Alligator mississippiensis: one gene and its partners. The protein of the gene in region 1 purifies or fractionates together with the protein of each later gene. This does not show direct contact. Links are inferred from orthologs where the notes say so. Each region holds a gene or a part of one and is shown in the gene's direction. Other genes may lie near its edges. The genes, in order: EIF2AK2, DHX30 and STAU2.

The links.
Region 2: the proteins of EIF2AK2 (region 1) and DHX30 purify together in Homo sapiens (affinity purification with mass spectrometry; 3 studies listed by BioGRID and IntAct, with this or other methods). This does not show direct contact. The link is inferred for Alligator mississippiensis from reciprocal best matches to the Homo sapiens genes EIF2AK2 and DHX30.
Region 3: the proteins of EIF2AK2 (region 1) and STAU2 purify together in Homo sapiens (affinity purification with mass spectrometry; 3 studies listed by BioGRID and IntAct, with this or other methods). This does not show direct contact. The link is inferred for Alligator mississippiensis from reciprocal best matches to the Homo sapiens genes EIF2AK2 and STAU2.

What each region holds. Positions count from the first base shown.
Region 1 is NC_081824.1:166,423,388-166,430,953, reverse strand, and holds the start of EIF2AK2 (interferon-induced, double-stranded RNA-activated protein kinase), read left to right. Parts: upstream 1-4,467; 5' UTR 4,468-4,490; coding exon 4,491-4,726; intron 4,727-4,890; coding exon 4,891-5,093; intron 5,094-6,962; coding exon 6,963-7,071; intron 7,072-7,566.
Region 2 is NC_081828.1:217,718,476-217,726,325, forward strand, and holds the start of DHX30 (ATP-dependent RNA helicase DHX30), read left to right. Parts: upstream 1-4,764; 5' UTR 4,765-5,749; coding exon 5,750-5,875; intron 5,876-7,850.
Region 3 is NC_081826.1:59,010,447-59,017,696, forward strand, and holds the start of STAU2 (double-stranded RNA-binding protein Staufen homolog 2), read left to right. Parts: upstream 1-4,212; 5' UTR 4,213-4,303; intron 4,304-7,250. UniProt on the Homo sapiens protein: RNA-binding protein required for the microtubule-dependent transport of neuronal RNA from the cell body to the dendrite.

The sequences.
Region 1 (7,566 bases):
AGTCAGGCAACTTGGTCACTAACACTCAACCCCTTAAGTAGGACCAGCTGAGCCTGAGCCTGCTGCTTGGTTCCAATGCTGCTCTTAGGAGCTTTGGCAGCACCTAGCCCCCGCTGTGCAACAAAATAGCCTCAGTCTGCATGTAGCTCTTGTCTGTGTGACTTCCCTGGAGCCTGTTCCAGTGTTTCAGCCTGTGTACCCAGTCCCTGAACTTTGGACCCCCATTTGACTTTGGGTCACGTGGCCAGGAACGCAGGTTGGCAGCTTGGAGAGTGGCATCCAACCAGTAAGTCTGTAGGGGGGAAGGTGTGGGGGAAGAGGCATAGAGGGGTGCAGATTGAGGCCCCCACAGTGAGGGATGGAGTGGGGCTGGGGCAGGGGTAGATGCTGCTCAGCCTGGGTGGGGTGGGGCATGGGATGGAGCCATGGGAGGCTGATCTGGGGGATGCAGGGGGTGGGAGGGGGCAGCTCCTTGCCTCTGCGTGCTCCCCAGGAAAGGCATAAAGGGTATTTTGTGTGTGAGGTGAGGGTGGGCTGAGGGCTGTGCCAGCCTCTTCCAAGTGGGAGGGCTGGGCTGGGGCTGCACTTGGGGCAGGCGGTATTTGGAGAGGTGGTGGTGATGCTGGGAGGGGGGGCCATGGGGTGGCTATAGTGAACTTTGGGGTGGCTGTAACCCACCTTGTAGCCCCACTCCCAGCACTGCCACTGCCTACCCCACCCCTGACCCTCCCTTCTCTGAGTGTAGCTCTGGCTCATCCCCCCAGCCTTGAGCCCATAGTGGGCAACTTGCTCTTGTCCTGCGCACAGATCTGGGGGCACATGCCCCCCAAGTCTACCTTGGAGGTGTGTGCAGAGGCAGGAGCTGCCACCCCCATCCCCCGACAAGCCACCTGCAGCCCCAGTCCCACTCCCTCCTTCACTGCAGGGCCTCAGTCTGCCTCTCCCCATGCCCTTTTCCACCGCACAGACTTACCGGACACTGCCCTCCAAGCTGCCTGGCTGCATATCTGCAATTGGATTAATACTGGCTGATATGGCTGATAAATAATCAGCCATCAGTATTGGCCAAAAAAATCTCTGGCCAGCAGCCAAAGCATCTTCTGGAAGGACTAAGCCTCTGTCTGCCAGTGCACACTCCTGTGGCATACACCGCACCACTTCTTTTTTCATAGTGGTTTTTTTGCTACTGGAATTTCCAGTAACAAATTTTGCCCCCACACTGCAAATTTGCAGTGCTGCACATGCTTTAACATGCCAGGTATAGTTTGTGGCACTGCAAAGAGGTTTTCAGTGCTGCAAACCACATGTGCCTGCATATCTGGATCTGGCCTGACTGCCATTCAGATTTCCATCCCCTGCCCAATCCATTGCTCTGCTTTCTGCTCCCTGCCTCATCTGTGTCTGTGCTGTGTGCGCTCTTCCCCAGTCTGGCAAGTGCCACATGCAGAGGTAGCCCATGGCACTTGTGACATGTGCCACAGTGTGACTGTCCCTGAATTATCAGATGACTTTCATGGTAGATTTAAAGACTTGCAAATACTGAAACTTGTGAACTCACTATTGATTGGTGTGATTTAATGAAGGCTGCTGGTCTACCCACAAATCCCTACTCGCCCATCCATCTGCTGTAGGAATGGGCGTTCTAGCACTCTTAGAGCAGTGTTTCTCAACCTGCGGGTCATGACTGTTACATCTCAGCTGTGTGTTCTTGGGAACCCTGGCACAGGATGCAGTCTGTCTGATTCACCCCCCCCCCCTTCTCTACATAAACAAAACTGATTAAGAGGCAGTGAGAGACACACCTAAGACCCTCCAGATAAGGCTGACAAGGGTGGAACAACTGCCCTAGGTCTCATTTGCATCTGAGATAGAACCTGATGACCATTCATTTACATGAGAGATGGAGAACAGAAAGCCTGAAGCAGAGACTGCAATGAATGCTGGGACCAGAGAAGCAGGGGAGCACTGCATGATGGGGAATCTGTGCTCCAAATGCTAATCAACCCATATTCACACACACCCAGCTCAGCATTTATCAGACCAGTTCTAATCTGGATCTACAAAGGACTCCCTTCCCCCCCCCCCCCCCCACACACACACCCCCACCTCTAAGTTTAATAGGCATCTTGGGCCGTACATTTCCCGGTCCCACTATGGGAGGCCTATTTAAACTTGATTGACTAAAGCTCGGTTGCCGGGTTAGGGAATGCTGAGGCAAGAGACCGAGTCAGAGGGGGCAGGGGCAACATTTGAACAATGGTTAAGGGTTCATTGCAGTGTCCAGCCTGTTGGAGCCCTAATCACAGGTGTTGTCATACTTTTCCCAAGATGACTGGTGGGAGTCCTCTCCACAAAAGGTTATGAGCACCCCAATAATTGTCATAAGTCTGTTAAAAGACTATAATAAGATCTGGAAAAGTCATGCTAAGCTGAGGCTTGTTCACAACAAGTGAAAATCCAAAATCCTGATGCTGCAGGCTATCTATTGTTTCTGAAGAACCCATGAGATATCCCATCAGTATATCTGCTATCCATAGGAATTTCAAGCTGGCTCCCAAGTATTTGGTTACTCCCTAATCTTATGTATTTCCTGATTATCAGTCAGTTTCTTGAGGTGTTCCAAACCAGATAACCCCTTGTCAATAGAAAAGACAATGATTTACACAATTGAGGATGCTTTGAAGCAGCTGAACTGAGGGTATAAAAATCTGTAAAAAGTGTGAGTGCTCAAGAAAGAAAGAAGAAAACTCCTGTGCTGACACCATTCCCTGTTCTTCTTGGGACGCTGGAAGAACAGATCATCTCCCTTCAAGGACTGTGCCTGTCAGCTTTGCAGCCTGAGTACCTTGGACTGGTGAGATCCCAGCACTCTCTCTCTCTCTTTTCTCTCTAGGCATAGATTTCTGAACCTGAACTGTATTAGTTAAGCTTGAGCTAAGTTTCCCCAAATACTTAGTGAAACCAGGGTAGTATTGTAACTGTGTTTGTTTTTTTTTTTCTTTTGCATGTCTATTACTACTAGTACTATTATATATTTCATATGCTTAGCAATAAATAACTTTTATAGTCAAACTGGTAGTAACTGGGTATATTTTTCCTTCTCTGCTTCTCTTTCCTCCCGTGCTCTGCAGCAACGCTTCTTTTACCTAAGCTAAAGATCCCTGTGAAGCCCAAAAATACTGTGGGGTCTGCTCATCAAGAGGCCAAAGATTGGGACGTGCTGAGTTTGAAACACATAAGGGGATCAGCTTGTACAGGCTGATTGACCCAGTTTGACTCAGACGTGCCCTTATGAACTGAATGCTGGCCCATGAGGGTGTCAGCTGGACACCCAGCCGGATTCAGAGGGATTCTGTTTACCTGTGTGCTTGTGTCTGACTGCAGTTTATTGTTGCTCTGATGAACTGATTCTTGGCATATGAGGGTGTCAGCCTGTCCATGCTGATCAGCCCGGCCAGGTCAGGCGTGTCACGTTAATTTGTGTGTGTTTGTGTGTATGACTGATTTGGTGACTGGAGGAACCCAGTCTCATTGAAATTGAGTCCTGCAAGATAGCTTCATTGGGGGTGAGGGCTTGAAGAAGGGAGAGATGCAGCTCCATATAGTAACACAAGCAGCACATTGACAGAATTACCAAGACCCTAGAAACTATCCCTAATAAATGAGCACACCCCAAAGTAATGGGCAAATCTGGTAACATGACCCAAAAGTGGGTCGCAAGAATATATGAAAGGGTCACAAACAAAGTTTAAAAATGGATTCTCCTTTCAAGGAGAAAAATGTGGGAAACTGTGGCTTTTCCCTTGCAGGCTGGCAGAGCTCCAGCCCCTCCTGCCCCACACACTGGAGGGCTGGGGGGCAGCTGGTTGCGAGTGAGGGGCACTGAATTGGGACTAGCCATTGCTGTTTACAAATGGGTCTTGGTTAGGGTGGCCATCATAGAGGGCAGTCTGGTTGTCCTCTGTCCTCTATTGCTACAAAACCAGATGCCTTTATGTCCCCTATTTTTTTTTTTTTTTTTTTTTTTTTTTTTTTTTTTTTGTTGAAGAGGAAAAATGGAGAACATAAAGGTGTGGGGTTTTGTATCAATAGGGGACAGAGTAGCAGGACACAGGCATGTCCTCTATGACAGCCACCCTAGTCCTGGTACAATACAAAAACAGTTGAGAACCGCTGTCGTGGAGGAGATGCGTGTCTGAGGCTAATGAATACATCAGTGCATTTGGGTGCGATGCTTTAAAGGCCCCCTGTGCTCTGGAAGTGCTGTGTCATCCTCTGAACATGCGGCTCCTTCATAACTTGGTTCCGCTTGACACCCTCTGGCTGGAGGAACAGGGCCCAGGGCCGGATTCACCCTTTCGTGGGCCCCCAGGTGAAGAGAGAAACTTTTATATGACTTTCCCCCCCACTCCATTCCAATACGTAAAAATAAGCACTTCTTCACTTAGGGCCCTAGGCACCTGCGTTCATCCGGCCCTAACGGGCCAGCAATGCCCCCGGGCTTCGTGTGCCTTCGCCCAGGCTCGGCTTGCCCGGCGCGCCTCCCGCGCGGGGCCGGCCGGGGGAAGACCGCGCCCTCCGACAGCCCTAGCTCGTCCGAGCCAGGCGCAGCGGGCGTGGGCTGCGCCGCTTGCTCCGCGCCTTCGCTTTCGATTCCCGGCGCGGCGGGAAGGGCGGGCGCGGCGGCAGGAAACGAAACCGGGCGGCTGCAGCGAGTGGCGCGGCGGTGAGTGGTTGCACCGTCCGGGCCTCGTGGTGCAAGGAGCGGGTCCCCCGGAAGCAGTGGGAAGGACACCACTTCCCCGCCCTCCCCGGGTTGGGGATCCTGTGGGGAGCGGGGCAGGAGTGGGGCGCCGGGAGCACCCTGCTCAAGGTTTGGCCCTTTTCTAGTCCAGGAGGCAGCTGCGTGAGGAGCTTTCCGGCAGGATCCAGTGGGAGGCAGGCAGTGGGACAGCAGCTGGAAGCGCCCTCCAGGGCTGGCGTGTGGTGCAGCCCCTGCCTGAGGCCGGATCGTCCAAGCCTCTGGGCAGAGCTATCCTCCGATCTCTACATCCCACTGACCAGCGCAGACCTAGCGCCCACACCTGCCACAGGTAAAGGGGGCGGGGCGGGGTTGGCTGCTCTGCCCACAACATGCCCTGCCTTCTTTGGGGAAGGGGACATTTGAGGGTTATGCTGTAAGGTCCTCATCTCCCCCAAACTGGCCCAGATTTGGCCCCGCGACCCCACAAGGCAGCTGGAGTCCAAGCTTCCAAAAAGCTTTTAATACAAATTTTTTCCTCCCTCCCACCCTACCTAGACTGCTGACAGCCCCAGGCAAACTTTTAGTCCCCCTTCACCAGAGATCATGATAGTTATAATAAAAAAATTACTATTTTTGCACCCCCTTTCTGTCTGGGCCCTGAGTGGTCTCCCAGTTTGCCCATGCCTGTGTCCGGCCCTGCTCCCACCCCACACACCGCTGCTAGAAGGAGGGGATGGGTAAAAGAAAAAAATGTGGATCCATCGTTACTTAGGGAAGGGATTCGTAATGTTTGTGTGCCCAAGGGCACATTTGAATTTAAAAGAAAAAGCAGCAGGCATCAATAATGGTGGCTACAAATGTCCAACTTGGGATCCTTAAAATTCTAGTTTATTAGGCGGATTGAAACACCGTAATCATAAACCTTGCGTCTGGCACACACACACACTCACACTCACACTCACTCTACAGAGTCAGGTATACCTATCCTACAAGCACTGGAGTCTGTCGTTATGGCTTCTTTCAGTGTGGTATTATCTTCCAGAAGGGGGTCACCGGCTGGTCCTTCTGGCTGGACAGGTCTGGTCAAGTTGGAGATCAAGAGGGCGCCAATGACAGTCACTTTTCACTGCCTTTTATTTGTCCCTGGCAGACTTTGGTGACTCCCCAGTTTTCAGGTTTGCCCAATCCAGGGGTTATTGACCCTCGTGGAACTTCCCCCCCCCCCAGTGGCTACTGGATGGCATCTGTCAGTCCCAGGGGTCGTCCGCATGTACGTGCAGGTTTGGGAGTCCGTTGATGAATTTAGAATAGGGCTCTGGGAGCGGTTGATCTGGAGATACTCAGCCCAAAAGTTGGTCCCCAGCGTTGATTAACTCAGGCCAGGGCTTCTAGCCCTTGATCAGTGAGGTTTACAGATTTCGCGGTTGTTCCGTTGTCTTCTATTGAGTTCTTCCCTTGGTTGATCTGCAGCTTCCAGGTGTTAATTGCTGCCTGTTGCTACAGTGTTACACATTCAATCACTGATTCACTCCCTCTTTCAGGTGCCAGTTTCATACAGGGAAGGACAGTTTGATTCCTACCCTTGTTACAATGTATAACTTACTAAAACACATTTAGTTGAAAGGTGAGGAGTATCAAATATAAGCTACAAATGCCATGGCACACAAATAGATAAAAATACCAAAATACAAGAGGAGATACAAAATGCACACACACAACTTTTAAAACACAATTCCTTATCTTAAAGTGAGAGAGAGAGAGGAAAGAAGAAAAGGTAGAAAAAGAGAAACATATCCAAAGAGGGGAGAGCAAATACAGGCAAGAGGAAAAGGGGGCTTTCTGCTACAATATGACAGCATTTTTTTAATGGAATAATTATTTTTACTGATCAGGAAAACTTGGGCGATGGCGCCAGCGTGCACTGTGTTGGGAACCACTGATTTAGTGTGACCATATTTCTTGAACCTCACTTCCTCTCTACCTCTTCTCTCTGGCATGCTTGGCTGTTTCTGAGCTCCTCAACACACCTCTTTTAGCATGCAACAAATATTTTGTAGCAAAACAGCCTATAATTCTCTACGCTCAGAAACACTTCCTGGATCTGTGTCTGTACCCATGAAGTATAGGGCTGCCATCTCTGTGTTTGCTTTCTTATATTCTTGGGGCAGAGACAAATGCTAAAAATATACATTCACTGTCAATTTTTCCCCCCTTGCAGGTTGGTTCAAAATGGCATCTAAGAAAAAGCTTAATGAATATTGTCAAGCATGTGGATTAAAGGTGTCGTATGAGGTTGTCAGTGAGGAAGGCCCACCTCATGATCCCAAGTAAGTTCATAATGGAGGCCAATGGATCTTCATTAGTAGTCTGGAAGGTGGTAGGGAGTACACTTTCAGCAAGTTTGCAGATGACACCAAGTTGGGGGAGTAGTAGTATGCTGGAAGGTAGGATTCAGGGAGACCTAGACAAATTGGATTATTGGACCAAAAGAAATCTCAGGAGGTTCAATAAGGCAAGTGCAAAGTCCTGCACTTAGGATAGAACAGTCCCATGCACTGATACAGGCTGGAAGCTGATTGGCTAAGCAGCAGCTCTGCAGAAAAGGACCTGGGGGTTATAGTGGACAATAAGCCGAATGAGAGTCAGTGTGCCCTTGTTGCTAAGATAACTAACAGCATACTGGGCTGCATTAGTAGGAGCATTGCCAGTAGATTGAGGGAAGTAATTACAGGCAGTCCTCAGACTTATAGATTCATAGATGTTAGGGTCGGAAGGGACCTCAATAGATCATCGAGTCCAACCCCCTGCATAAGCAGGAAAGA
Region 2 (7,850 bases), on another chromosome or scaffold:
TTGAACAGGTTGCTTTTCACCCCCTCGTCCAAGTCGCTGATGAAGATGTTGAACAGCGCAGGCCCGAGGACCGAGCCCTGGGGGACCCCACTGCCCACATCCCTCCAGGTCAAAAATGACCTGTCCACCACCACTCTCTGGGTGCGGCCCTCCAGCCAGTTAGCGACCTATCTCACTGTGGAGGTGTCGACGCCACAGCCCCCTAGTTTTTTAACGAGAATGGAGTGAGAGACAGTGTCGAAGGCCTTCCTAAAGTCCAGAAAGACTACGTCCACTGCTACCCCTGCATCTAAGGATGTTGTGACCTGGTCGTAGAAGGCACCAGGTTGGTCTGACAGCACCTGCCTCGAATGAACCTGTGTTGGCTGCCCCTAAGCATGATCTGCCCTGCCGGCCCCTCGTGGACATGCGCTAGAATAACTCTCTCAAAAAGCTCACCCAGGATCGAGGTAAGACTAACTGACCTATAGTTCCCTGGGTCCTCCTTCCTCCCTTTTTTGAAGATGGGGACCACGTTGGCCCTTTTCCAGTCCTCTGGTACAATGCCAGGGCACCACGAGTGCTCATAAAGCTGTGCAGGGGTCCCGCAATGACCTCTGCTAATTCCCTCAGCACTCGGGGGTGGAGATCATCAGGACCAGCTGATTTAAATATGTCCAGTCCCTCCAGAAGTTCCCTGACTTGATCCTCGCTGACCCTAGGCCTGGCTGCGCCTCCCCTGGGGCCTGAGGGGGTCCCGGCGGACGGGCTGATCCGGTCCCTGCTCAGGAAAACGGAGGCAAAGAAATTGTTAAATAAGTTAGCCTTGTCGTCTGGTGTGACAACCGGATTTCCTAGCGTGTCTTGCAGAGGTCCCACGTTACCTGGCACCTTCTTTTTGCCCCCTATGTATTTAAAGAAGGACTTCTTGTTGTCCTTGATCCAGGTAGCTAGTCCCAGTCCCATCTCCGCCTTGGCCTTCCTGACCACCCTCCTGCAGCCCCGAGCACCCGAGGTGTAGTCCTCCCTGGGGATGGTCCCTCCCTGCCATTGGGTGTACGCCTCCCTTTTAGCCAGGAGACGTTCCCGTATGCTCTTGGTGAGCCATGGGGACTTTTGCACCCTCTTGCCCCTTTGACCCATGTTGGGATTACCTCCCTTTGGGCTTGGAGGATCGTCTCCTTAAGGAACGACCACTCTTCTTGGACACCCGACTCCCCTCCCCTCCAGGACCTCAGTGCTTCTCCAACTAGTCTCCTTACCTCATTGAAATCTGCCCTCCTGAAGTCCAGGGCTGCTGTCTTGCTGCAGGCTTTTGCCACCTTGCACTCATTGCCACTCATGGCAATGAAAAATGAGGAGGCTGTTAAAGGAATACCCCCAAATGCTGACACGTTACATTTCCCTTGAGCGCAATGACGCCTGTGGATGGATAGTTACCAGAAATGAGGGGCTCGATCTTGCAGACACACACAGCTCCCTTTACCCCGAGAAGCAGTCCCACAGGTGTCACTGGGATGAGGAATGGCAATGGTTTGGGGTCTTGCACCTCAAGATGGCAGATTCAAATCCAGCCCAGGTGTGGGCACAAAGAACCTGTTCCTGAAAGGTACCGGACACCCATTTGATAGAGAATAACGTAGCCCAGGTTCAAGAGCAACAACATGTCTGAGATGAGCTGCAGGATTTGTATAATTCCTCGTAAGGGTATGGTTAAACAATACCCTGCTTGCTAAGGTTGGAATTTGGCTTCAGATTTAAGACATCTGTGACATGTACAGTTCCAGCTTCGTTGCACAAGAGTACACGTGACGTTTGCTATACAGAGGAGGGCACAGGGACAATCAGGCACTATCTCCTAGTACAGGTGTTTCTGTGAAAGCACCCTAACATGGCTCTCGCAAGGACCGTCACCTGGAGAGGCTGGAATGAATTCCTGATTAACCTTGTACGTGCCCGGGGACAGTCCCAATTTCCCCTCTGCTTCTCTCTCGCTGTGCCGGTTGCTCCCTGCGCGTCCTTCTTTGTCTCCAAGCCCTGCATCAACTACAATTAAAGCACGCAGGCAGGGCTTGCAGCAGACAACCATTTAATTAGGGGAAAATGCAACAGTTATTGACCTCTGGTGCTTCACGTGAGAACTGCAGTGGCACAAATGGCCTTCATGTCCTCGCTCTCCAGGACTGGGCTCTGCTCCAGCCAAAGAAAGACCCAGACCCACATTATCGCACCCCAAACCCACACCTTTCAGCTGGAACGGACTGCAGGGCCAGGACCTGCAACATCCCACAGACCTTTAGAGACAGGATCTAGACAGCTTGGACCATGGACCTAGCCAGGGGACTCTAGTTGCGTGATACACGTGCCCCCTTCCCAACCGAGACTCAGGGCAGCTTGCAGCACGAGAAACCGACTCAGAGAAAACCAGAATAAAGCAGAGACCCACGACATAGCCCCTCAGCCCAGCTCCGGTGAGGCAGGCATTTACATGAGTACATCTAGGATGTTCTTTTCCCTCTCATATACTTAATTTCCCCCTCCACACATCATTAATATGGCAGAGCCACACAACAGCTTTATTGTGGATGCTTGCCAGGCCTTTATCCTGGGTACGTGGGTGTGTTGCAGACGTGAGGAGGTGGTCAGCAGTCTGTGGTGCAACACCACACTCACATACCGGACGGTTCTCCAAGCCAGTCTTACAGAGCGTGGCATTAAAGCATCCAGCTCCAGAGCAAATCCTGTTTAGTTTAATCCATAAATTGCTGATTATGGATCTAGGAACTTGCAGACTTACGGATCTAGGATGTTGAAAAGCAAGGTGCAGATGGTGAGGCGCATCATCACATATAAAGAACACCTATTTTTCTCCAGGTGAAAAGAAACTAGAAGCTTTACTAATAGGCCTGGGGATTGGGGCTGGATGAGTCTGTTTAAAATTGAGGCAAAAACAAATACAACTTCACTGGAATTAAAGCAGTATCTGCAGGGCTGTGAAATAGGAGCTCCAGCACCAGGCGCAGGCAATGGACAGCAGAACTGCAGACCAAAGGATGCTTGATCGCTGGAACATCAAGACCGTTGAAAGGAAGAGGGTCGTCCACACCTGTGGGATGAGGGGTGTAGAAGGGATCTGATAGGTGACAACGGACTCCCTCAGCGCTGCCTGACCAGCAACGCTGCCGTCACTGCCCGGCAGCTGGTTTTAAACTATGGCTGGAGCCGGACTCAAAGCGGGGTGCAAATGCACCACTGCATCCCCCGGCATCCACCCCTGGGCATTTAGCAGCCAGAAACACCCAGGCTCAGGCAGCCTCAAGAGGGAGGGAGCTCCAGGGCTGCGCCGTGGTGGCTGGCAGCCATCTCCCCCCGTTCCAGCCCAGCGGACTCAGCACACGGCTGGTCCTTGCAGGAGGCTGCCCTTGCGGGGCAGAGGGACGGGTTCCCCTCGGGGCCTGGCTGTGTAGGGCTTTGTAGGTCACACCCAGTGCCTTGAATTGCTATATGGGACTAGGCTGCTATATGGGACTGGGCAGTACTGCTATGTGAGCAGGGAGGGCGTCGCAAAGGTCTGTAGCAGTCCAATCCTATACAGCCACACGTCTGGTCCTGTATAGCAGCCTGGTCCTATACAGCAACACTGGCCTGTCCCGTATAGCAGCCTGGGCCTGTACAGCCCCCCTGACCTCCCACAGGGCAGCTCAGTCCTACGCTGCCTGGTCCCATACAGCAGCACTGCCCTGTCCTGTCTAGCAACCTGACCCCATACAGCCCCCCGACGAGTCCCACAGGGCAGCCTGGTCCCATATAGCAACACCGCCTGGTCCCATACAGCATCCTAGTCCCTAGAGCAGCCCTGCCCTGTCCTGTATAGCAGCCTGGTCCCATACGGTACTGCCCAGCCCAGCCCCATACAGCAGCCTGGTCCCATATAGCAACCTGGCCCCATATAGCAGCACTGCCCGGTCCCATATAGTAGTCCGGTTCCATATAGCAGCCTAGCCCCACATAGCAGTACTGCCCAGTCCCATATAGCAGCCCAGTCCCGTATAGCAGCACTGCCCAGTCCCATATAGCAACACTGCCCGGTCCCATATAACAGCACGGTCCCATATAGCAGCCTAGCCCTACATAGCAGCACTGCCCCGTCCCGTATAGCATCCTGGTCCCATATAGCAGCACTGCCAGGTCCCATATAGCAACACTGCCCAGTCCCATATAACAGCCCAGTCCCATATAGCAGCCTAGCCCTACATAGCAGCGCTGCCCTGTCCCGTATAGCATCCTGGTCCCATATAGCAGCACTGCCAGGTCCCATATAGCAGCCTAGCCCTACATAGCAGCACTGCCCCGTCCCGTATAGCATCCTGGTCCCATATAGCAGCACTGCCAGGTCCCATATAGCAGCCTAGCCCCACATAGCAACACTGCCCAATCCCATACAGCATCCTGATCCTATGTAGCAGCACTGCCCGATCCCTGTCCCCTAGGCGCGCCAGCCCCCATTGGCCCCGCCCCCGCGCTCCCATTGGCCCCGCCGGTTGCCATGGCGACACGCCGTCTCCCCCCCACATCCGGTAGCCGGGCTGCGGGGCGGAAGTCGGCGCGTTCAGTTCCGGGCCATGCCCCGGAAGCGCAGCGCGCGGGCGCCCGGGAGCGGTAGTCCCGGCGGGCGAGGGCCGGCGCCGCGGAGTTGCGAGGAGGTCGGTGCGGGGGCCCGGCGGGGCGGGGTGGAGGGCGGGGGGCCGGGCCCGAGCCCCCAAGCTCGCGGGCGCGGGGAGGGGCGGGGTCCGCGGGCGGGCCGCGGGGTCGCATCCTCCGCGCCCGGCTTTGTGGAGACTCTCCAGCCCGGGCCAGACCGCCTGCAGCTCGGCGCCGCGTCCGCCGGGGCCAAAAACAAAGCTGCCATCGCCGGGGTCCGGAACGAGCTCCGGCATCCTCCGCCATCACGCCTCGCGGCGGCCCCTCGTGCCCGTTAGTCGCGGGCCCGCCCCTCCTCGCGCGTGGGGGCGCGAAACACGGGAGCCCTTCGTCTCGTCTCGGTCCGGAGGAAGAGGACGGCTCCGCCAGGCTCATTATCCTGCCGAGTCTTAGGGGGCCGCTAGCGGTCATTCGCTGACCGCGTTGCCTCTTGGCGCCGGACACCGGTTGGGACGCGGGGCAGGAGTCCGCTCGAGCCGCTCGCTACGCCAGAAGGTGCCGCCCGACGATCTGCGGAGGCCTCGTGCGACCCCGAAAATCTGTGAAATGGATGAATTTCTGGGGCGTGCGTCCCCGCGTGCGACCGTCTAGGTCGGCCGCCCGGTTTGTCAGCGTTTAGCTCGTGAATCGCCTCCGGGGAAGTTTCGCTCGCTCAAAAGACACGTGATTACTTGCGACCGCAGTGGGACCGCTTGGTCGTCCGCGTAGACTGAGGCAGGAGGTCTTTCTCGGTTGCCTTTCCTCTCCACTGAGAGTTTTGCCGTGAATATTTGAGTAAGCGAGCGGCGTTTGGGATCGGGTCCCTCGTACGCTCTTTGGAGAGGGAATACAACTGTAATGAGTGTTATAAGTTGTAAGCTCATGTCCAGGGTGCACGTATGTGTTACTGACAGCTTGGATCCATGCAGGAAAGAAGAGCCTGAAGAACCAGACCTCCTGGAGCCAGCTGTCCTCTTTAAAAGCGCTTGGAGGTTAGGTGAGGAAAAGGGCAAATATATAGTGCCCAGCTTTAAGGAAGGAAAGGAGGAGGACCTGGGGAGTCAGCCTGCCCTTGATACCTGGGAAGATCATGGAGCAGGTCCTCCAGGAGTCTCTTGCGAAGCGCCGAGAGGACAGCCGAGGGATCAGGAACAGCCCGCATGGATTCCCCACGAGCAAGTCATGCCTGACCAACCTGATTTCCTTCTACCATAAGGTGACAGGCTATGTGAATGGGGGGCAAGCAGTGGATGTGATGTATAGACCTTGGCTTTAGCAATGCTTTTGAAACGCTCTCGCATGACAGTCTCATTCGCCAGCTAAAGAAAAGAGGACTAGACGAAAGTACTACGAGGTGGATACGTAACTGGTTAGATCACCTGTGGTCTGTGGACCTTGGGGGTCCGCAGACTATGTCTAGGGGGTCCGTGATCAATCAAAAGTATGTGAATACTCACACTTATAATTCAAAGGGGTCTGTGCTTCCATTCAAAATTTCCACTGGGCTCTGTACCTCCACTTGACATTTTTTAGGGGTCCGCAAATGAAAAAAGATTGAAAACCACTTGCTTAGATTAGATTAGGCATTAATGGCTCAATGTTTAGTTGCAAGGAGGTATTAAGCGGGGCTCCCCTAGATTCTGTCCTGGGTTTGCTGTCGTTCAGCATCTTTATGAATGTTTTGGTTGATGGGATTGAGTGCACACTTAAATTTGAGGATGTCACCAAGTAGGATGGAGTTGCGGGCGCTTTGTAGGGTAGGATACAGAATGACTTGGACAGACTGGAAAAATGGCCAGCTGAGATCCAGCACGGAAATGTGCAAAGCCCTGCGCTTGGGATAAAATACTTGCATGCACAAATACAGGCTGGGGAATGACTGGCTAAGCTGCAGGACTGCAAAGAAAGACCTGGGGGTGACAGCGGACCATAAGCTGAATATGAGCCAGCAGCGTGATTTCGTTGTAAAAATAGCCGACAGCACCCGGGGTTGTACTAACAGGAGTGTCACTTGCAAATCACAGGAAGCGATGCTTCTCTGTTCAGCACTGGGGAGGCCTCCCCCCGGAGTACAGGGTCCGGTTCTGGGCTCCACACTTCAGAAAGAATGTGCACAGATTGGAAAGTCCAGCGAAGCATGACAGAAATGATTAGGGGCTTGGGAAGCGAGGAAAGGCTGAAAGAACTACAGTTATTTAGTCTGGAGAAGAGAAGACTGAGGGGGGATTTGATCACAGTCTTCAAATACCTGAAAGGCGATTGCAAAGAGGATGGAGATGCGCTTTTCTCTGTGGCTGTAAGGGATAGGACTAGGAGCAGTGGCCTCAGGCTACAGCCAGGGTAATTTAGGTTGGAAATGAGGAGGAAATTCCTGACTGAGGGTGGTCAAGCATTGAATGGGCTGCTTGGAGGACTTGTGGAATCTCCATCCTTGGATATTTTCAAGAGCAGGTTGGACAAACACTTGGTTGGGAAGGTTTATTTAGGGATGGTCCTGCCTTGAGCAGGAGGCTAGACTAGATGATTTTGCAAGATCCCGTCCAACTTTACTTTCCTATGATCCTGCTTATATGGAGAAGAAGCCACATCGCTTTTTGCCTAGTTCAGCTTTTCCATGCAGTTTAAACTCTTTATCACTAAAATAAGGTCTGGCTTTGTGTATATGCTGGGAACATCTCCGAGTGCTGTTTTCATGTAGCTCTACTCTGAAAAGAGGCTTTGCATTAGGTCTGATTCTGTCTCCCTGGAATAAATAGGATTTTCCCATTGACTGCAGTGGTCACTCCAAAAGTATAATATTAACATTAATAATAATTACTATTAACAATTACAGTGGATGATTAATATTTTAATATGAATATGGACATTGTCATCTGAATGGGAAGCCCGCCCAGCTCTGCTTCCAGTTTGTTACAAAATCCTTGCTACTCTATCAGATGTACCCTAAAATTGTCCTACCTTTAAGTGATCAGGCTGAGTAGATCCTTTCCCAAATTAAGCTTTGTGGTCCTGGCATTTTTCTTGTTCCCAGCCAGATGTCCTAAGCTCCTGTTGAGGAAACTGCAGGCAAAGCTGCATATTGAAAAAAAATTCATAACTTCTTAGCTGGGAAAAAGCAAATGCAAAAGAATTCAGGCTGCTTTATATGTGGAAAATCTTTCACAGATGTATGCCAGTGTTTTAAAGAAAAA
Region 3 (7,250 bases), on another chromosome or scaffold:
CTATGCAGATATATGGAGTCCCATACCAGATCAGGCCCACAGAGCCAAAAGGTGAGGCACCACTGGTCTAGGCAGCTTGAGAGGGAGCAGCTGTCTAATCTGGTAAATGGTATTTTACCTTGGATCAGTAGATTTGGCTTTCCAAAGTCTTTGTAGAATGTACTGAATGCAAGGTCCTTATACTGTGCTTTTAAAAACATTTGTAAAAGGCACAGAAACAACAGAAAAAAGGAAGAAACTTAGGCTCATCACTTAGGAAGTTTGATAAGGCAATTTACAAAACAGGACAGATGTTTTATTAAATTATACCTATGAAATTAAAAAAGTATTCAAATACAAGTGTTATGACTCTAGGCACAAGAGCTCTGGTTGATTCTCAGACCAAACAAGTAGAACTGAGTAGAAAAGGTGAAACAAGTTAATTTATAATTTCAGATCTCAGAAATAAGTGGGCAACTTGCATACTTTCTAAAATTTACAGGTGAGAGCATCCTGTTAAAGTATTAATACTTTATATGATTAAAGCTCCATTCTACCTTGCAGCATAGGCAGGAATGTTACCAAGTGTCTGTAGACTTTCCTAAAACTTTAAGGCAATTTGGTGTTTAAAACATTTAAGACACCAATTATTCTGCCAGATGGATAGGTACTTTAGCTGGGAGGCTGTTAAAGGGGTCATCTGTATTATCTATGTTGAAGCCCTAGGTTATAATATGACAAAAAGAGTGTAATACTCTACACTAAAAAGATTTCATATGAAATGACACAAAAATGGCGGGGGGGGGTTGGGGTTGGGTTTACATTATAATGCCTTTTTCGTATGCTTTTTATCCCATGACTGTCAAACAGTTCTCAGAGCACTCCTTGGAAAAACCTCTCATATATAAAAAAAAAATAAAAAATAAAACATGATCTTGAAGCAAATATTTTTAGGAGACTCTGGTTTTGACATTAACAGTATATGTCTAATGTACAAGGGCACGATCAGGAGAGTTTTCCTTTCTGGGACAGTCTGTGAGATTAGAAGTGCATTAGCTCAATATAATGGGTTCCATGCCATTTCTAGTTGTAAAAGGTACAGCCTTCAGATTTTGGGTGGGCTGGGGGAGAGGTTACTTGGTTTTGTTCAGATGCTTACTGCGTATTTTAAGTTAGTTTTTGTCTCATCTGATCTGATGTTAAGCTTTTCGGTAAAAAGACCATCTTGGGCAGAGCTGAGCATGTTGTTGGTGTGTAGCAATAGGTGAAGGATATTTTTTTGTATTCAGTGTTCTGATATTTGATTATTAATTAGTAAAGAGGTGGGAGGAGGAAACATTCCTTTCCAAGTTGGGTTTCCTGAGAATCATAAAATTTAAGGTAGAGTAGGGTTACCATATTTCCACTTCCAAAAAAGAGGACACCTGTTGGGGGAACACCTCACTCCCCACCCACGGCCTTCTGGCCCTGCTAATGCCCGTTGCTCCCAACCTGCAGCCCCCCCATCCCTGCTGCTGCCCCTCACTCCCAACCCACAGTCCCTCACCCCCCCCCCAGGTTATGCTGGTGCCCCTCATCCCTGCTGGTGCCCTCACTCCTGACCCACAGTACCCACCTGCAGCCGCCCAATCCCTGCCAGTACCCCTTGCTCCTGATCCGCAGCTCCCTACTCTCCCTAGCCCTGCTGGACTGGGGCCCCAGTTGCCCTTGTCCTGAATGGGCCAGGGTGCGATGGCTCTGATTCATGCAGGCAGCGGTACAGCAAGTCCAGCTCTGGTGCAGGCGGAAGGGAAGAGGGAATTCCTGTAGCACCCCCTGCCCTGGGCCAAGGCTCCAGCTCTGCACCAGGTGGCTTGGCCATGCCCCCACACCCCAGCAGTGTCTCCTGGCCAGCCCAGCCCCATGAGCATGGGCACCATCCCTGGTGCTGCCAGCCTGGCAACAGAGCTTACCTCTGTCTTCAAAGGGCACCCCCTGCCCCCTTCCCTTGCTGGAGGACCAGGCACAAACTGTTCCCCTCCTCCCCCTGCCACAGCAGCCTTGGTGCCCAGACTTCTCCTAATGCCAGCAGACACCCGCCACCCTTGCACATGCCAGCTACCCACATGCATACCCAGTCATTGGTGATGCATGGGGGGTGCACATGCACCCCCTGAGATTGGTGATGCATCCCCTGCGATTGACTGCTGCTGGTGGCGCCTGCAGGCAGTTGCCATTTACCACCCCCTACTCTTGCTGCTGACACTGCTGTCGGTGTCTGTTGCTGATAGCTGCTGTTGGCAGCATCTGCAGGTGGTTGCCAACTGCTGGTCGGTGCTTGTCACCCCTCCCCCCCCCCCACCGCCAACATCACCGCTGCTGCCTGCGGGCAGTTGCCATGCCCCCCCTCCCCCCCACTGCCAACATCACCACTGCTGCCTGTGGGCGGTCGCCATGCCCCCCCAGCCTCCAGGGGCATGCCTCATTCATGCAGACAGTCCCCAAGCCTTGGCCCACTAACCCCTGCCTCCCACAGGGATTGCTTCCATGACCCTGCCAGGTTGCATGCCGGCCACGTGCCCGCTGCCTCCAATTGTCCTCCCCCCCAGTGAAGCAAAGCAAAATCAGTTCATATTAAAAACAAACAAACTGCCCTGATGGAGATTAGAGGGTCCAAAAAGAGGACATGTCCAGGAAAACCCAGACTTATGGTAACCCAGTTGTAAGTCTCATGGGTGATTTATTTCAAGCCAAAATGGTGGCTTTTATAGAGGTTCTGTTTTCCTTTACTTACCCACATTTTCCTCTACCAGCAGTTCCCAGTTTGTGGTATAGGTACCACCAGTGGTACACAGACAGCCTTAACAGGTTTATTATAATTACTTTATATGACAAAAATTTGCTGGCAGTACTTAAGTTTGTATCGTTTAAAAGTGGTGGTGCACTATCTGTCAGAGTTTGGAAACCATTGCTCTACTCATTGAAACCATTTCAATGCTTTTTTACTTGGGCTGTGTCATGCTCCTCTTTGCTTTTATCTTTAACTTCCTAGACTTTAAATGCTGGAGGCTGCAAGTGAGAGAGGAACAGTGGGGTTTGGAGGGGGGCTGGTCCTACCCAATTTACTTTCCTTTCAGCCTCTGCTGTCTGCTCCTGCTGCCACAGGGACCTAGGACACAGCCTCCGAAACAGAACTTCCTAAACCTTAAAGGCTGGAGGCCACAAGGGGGAGAGGAGCAGGGAGACAAGCCCCGTTCATTCTCCTTTTAAGCATCACTCTCTGCCCCTGTGCAACACAGGCCTGTTTGTTCTGCTACTGGGGAAGTGTGGGCCTAGGCCTGCCAACTAAAACTGTAAGCCTTCCTTTACAGAGGAGGCTACTGAAGGTGCAACAACTGGTTCTTGGGGCAAATAAAAGAAAAACAGGGGAAGGAGTAAAGAGTGTAGGTTTAAAATGAGTGCACCAAGGGCCAGGGGACATGCATACTGAGCAGGGTACATGTGCTAGTGCCTGCTGGCCCTCAAATGAGTCCAAGGAGCTGGTGGGCCCTGCCCAGCGAAACTACACCGGAGACGCGAACAGGGGGGTGACAGGAAAGCCTCCCTGGGGGCTCCTGGTTGGACATGCCGCCAGCTCGGCTGCAGCCAGGAGGAGGCTGCCCGGGGCTCGGGTAGGACGGGCCCCAGCTGCTGGCAACCCCTGTGCTCTTCGTCTGCCCGGAGCAGGAGGAAGCGCCTGCGTTTCACACGGGGCGGCGGGCCGGGGCGAAGACGAACTATCCTGGAGCTTTCGGGACAACCTGCAGGCGAGGGGCGGCAGTGTGAAGAGGGGGAAGGAAGGAGAGTCTCTCTTTATCCCTCCCCACGCAGCGCGGCTGTCGGCGCCTTCACCGCCCAGCTCCGCCTCGGCCCGTCCCGGCCGGTCCCAGTCATCCCGCCCGGGCCGGCCGAGCCCCCAGCGCCGTCGCCCGCGCGGAGCTGGGAGCGGGTCGGAGCCGCCGCTAGGGGGCTGCCGCACGACCGGCGGGGAGGGGAGGGGAGGGGAAGGGAAGGGAAGGGAAGGGCGGCGGACGGGGCCATTCGCGCGGCGGCGCGGGGGGGGGCGTGGGGCGCGGAGCGGGGCCGCGCGGGGCGGGGGTGGCGGCGGCGCGGGCGGGCGGGCGGCAGGGGGCGGCGGCGGCGGGGCCGGGCCGCGGGGGGCGGGCGGCGGCGGCGGCGCGGGGCGGGGCGGGGCCGGCGGCGGAGGGGGGCGCAGTGGTTGGGGCCGGCGGCGGCGGCGGCGGGGTCAGTTCTCTTTAGTGTTTGCCGATGTTGGAGGCGTCTCCAAAGTGTCCCCGGGAACCAGGTAACGGGGCTGTCCCGGCCCGGCCGAGCCCATCCCGGCGGCGGGGCGGGGCGAGGCGAGGCGGGAGCCGCGGCGCCGGGACGGGGCAGGGGGCGCCGCTGCCGCGATGCCGCCCCCTCCCCCTCTCCGGCGCCGGCCCGGCCGGCAGCACCAACACTCCCGCCCGGGAGTTGCGGGGGACGTGGAGCCGGCTGGGAAGTGGGGGGCGGCGCCGGGCCGAGCCCGGGCCGGTATCCCCGCGCGGCTTGGCCCTTCGCGCCGGGCCGGGCTGGGCCTGGCCGGGCCTGGCCGCAAGGGGCTGCGCGCTGGGCCGGGTCGGCGGCTCGGGCCGAGGCGCCGGCACGTCCCCGCCGGCCGGGGCCGCAGCAGGCCCCGCCGCGCCTCCTCGTGCCGGCGGACGTGGCGGCCCCGCGCTGCCTGGGGATGCTTCGTCCTGTAGAGAGCGGCGGCCCCCGGCGGCTCGGCTCGGCTCGGCTCGCTGGGCTGCGGCTCTCCTCTTCCCGCGTCGCCCTGGCGCCGGGGCCCCGGGAAGCAAGTTCCTGGTTGAGGACAACGTGAGAAGTGCGGGGCTGGGGGGGCTGGCCTGGGCCCTGCGCCTGGGAGGACCAGGCCTGGGCGGCTTAGGAGAGACACCCGGAGCACCTGAGAGCTCTTCTGAGCAGGCTTTTTTGGCTGGCTGCTTCGGCAGCCCAGTCCTGGCGGGTTTAGGAGGCGAGACGCCCAGAACTCTCCTCCAGGCAGCCTCTTCGCAGGCTGCTTCTGAAGTGCCCTCCACAAAGTAACTGTGGTCTCAAAAATGGGAGCACATGGTGAAATCGGTGACGCTTTGCTCCTGGCAGACTTTCCGTACACACCAAGACATACCGGCCATGGGTCACTCTGGGAAAGCTTTCTTTTGACTTCTTAGGCTTTCTACTAGTTATTAGACTTGAAGGATTTGTGGGGTCTGGGGAGCTCAAATTCAGCAGAGGAGCACGTGCAGTGCGCTGTTGCGGACAAGGCTGTGCGCTGTATGTTGTATGTAACTGTAGGTAATGACTTGAGATCCTTCTCTCCTATCATGACAAGGCCCTGCTTACACGGAGGAAATTTGTGCAGGTATAACTACGTAGGCACAAGTACATCCCGTTGGTGCTGGGGCGTACGCTGCTACATCTTAGGGTGGTGTATTACCAAATCATGATGCACCAGCGCAGCCCCTGCTTTGTCCTGGCGCAGTGTCTTCTTGTTGAGGATTTATACCTGTGTAACTGCAGTAATAGAGTTACACCAGTATATATTTTATGAATGTAGGCAAGGCCTTTTTTGCTGAACAGGTTTTTGTGCGACACTACTGCTTATGAATGGTGCCAGATTGACAGCCAGCTGAATGAAGCCCTTTATCTCAGGAGCCAGCAGCAGTGTAAGATTTCCAGGGCTGTCCAGTTAATGAACCTCAGCTGGGCCCCAGAGGGACCACAGAAGGGTATGAGAGACTTCAGTCCTCGTGTGCATTCAGTGCTTTGCCTCTCTGAGATCCCCATTACTGGCCACTGGGAACTAGACTGTTGCAAGCAGTTTATTACCCATAAGCTGTTAAGGCAGCTAATGATGGCAACTAATTTGGGCTAGATTTAGACTAGCAGTGAGTTTGAACTACCCTGTTCACCAACAGTTATGTTTAATAACACTGTGCGCTTGAATGGTATTTTATACCAAAGTCTGAAAGTCGCTTACAAAGTATTTTGACACTGGGAAAAACTGCATTTTTTGAAAGATAAATGACTTGCCCAAACTTGAACACTAAATCAGTACCATAGCTCACTTAGCCCATTCTTTTGGGCAAAGACCAGGGGCTTGATTTTTCTCCCCAGATTTACCCCTGTGACTCCACTGAAGCAGGGTTGCTTCTGATTTACATTGATGTAAATATGAGACGGAAATTAGTCACGTAAGTGTCCTTCCCAAGGTTAGACAGTAAACTGGTGTCAGAGCCATATCTTCTGAGCCTAGGGTTGCTGCTCTAGCCATGAGGAAGCTGCACCTGTTGTGTTCTTCTGGAGAGTTTGTCTTGAGGTGCCTAAAATATATGTCTATAAATGTCTTTGTAGAGAAGAAATATATTAATTCCTAGTGTGCATTTGGAGTCCGTTACTCTTCAGTCAAAAATTGTATCTTTCTAAAATATGTAATTGAGAAGTGGGCTTTGTAAGTTGTAAACTGATATTATTTTTCTAAGTTTTATGCTACCAGAGGGTCAAAGACTCTGTTGCTTGTATAAGCTATAGGGGTAACATACTGATATCCATATGATGTCTTTATGACTGGGGACCTACTGAAATCGTGGTTTTGTGATTTTTGCAGGACCGTTAAATTGGTAGGTCTGCCACAAAAAAGCCCAATTCCCATGGAAAAACGCGGAGACCACAAAAATGGCCAGTGAATGGGGAAATAAAATGTGCGGGGGGGAGCTGTAAACAGAAAATGGTGGGACGCCCTGGGGCCAGGAAGCATGAGGGGCTGGGGTGGGAGGACAGATTTTTGTGCAGCTGCCACCCCTCCACTCCCCCCTGCCAAGGGCCCCCAGTAGTCCCACCCCTCCCTAGAGATTGACAGGTGACCACCTATCAATCTCTGGGGAGGGTCAGGACTTCCAGGGCCCCTTGGTCAATCAGAGATGCGGGGGCTGCTATGCTCACCATGAAAGTGGCAACTAGTGCTGTGCTCAGATGGCAAAATTGATGGGTCAGCTGCCCTGAATTCTGTAGGTTCCTGGTTATAACAGTGTAACCATGCACGTGCTAGGGCTTTTCCTAATGAAATAGTTAAACAGGTAACACACGCAAACCAGGTATAGGACTATTGTTTATTCAGAATACTCAGTTCAAGTCCCAAAACGCACAAGTTCTCTACAAAATGTTTTCTTTCATAAATACACCGTGTTTCTAACTGGCACCAGCATTTTCTG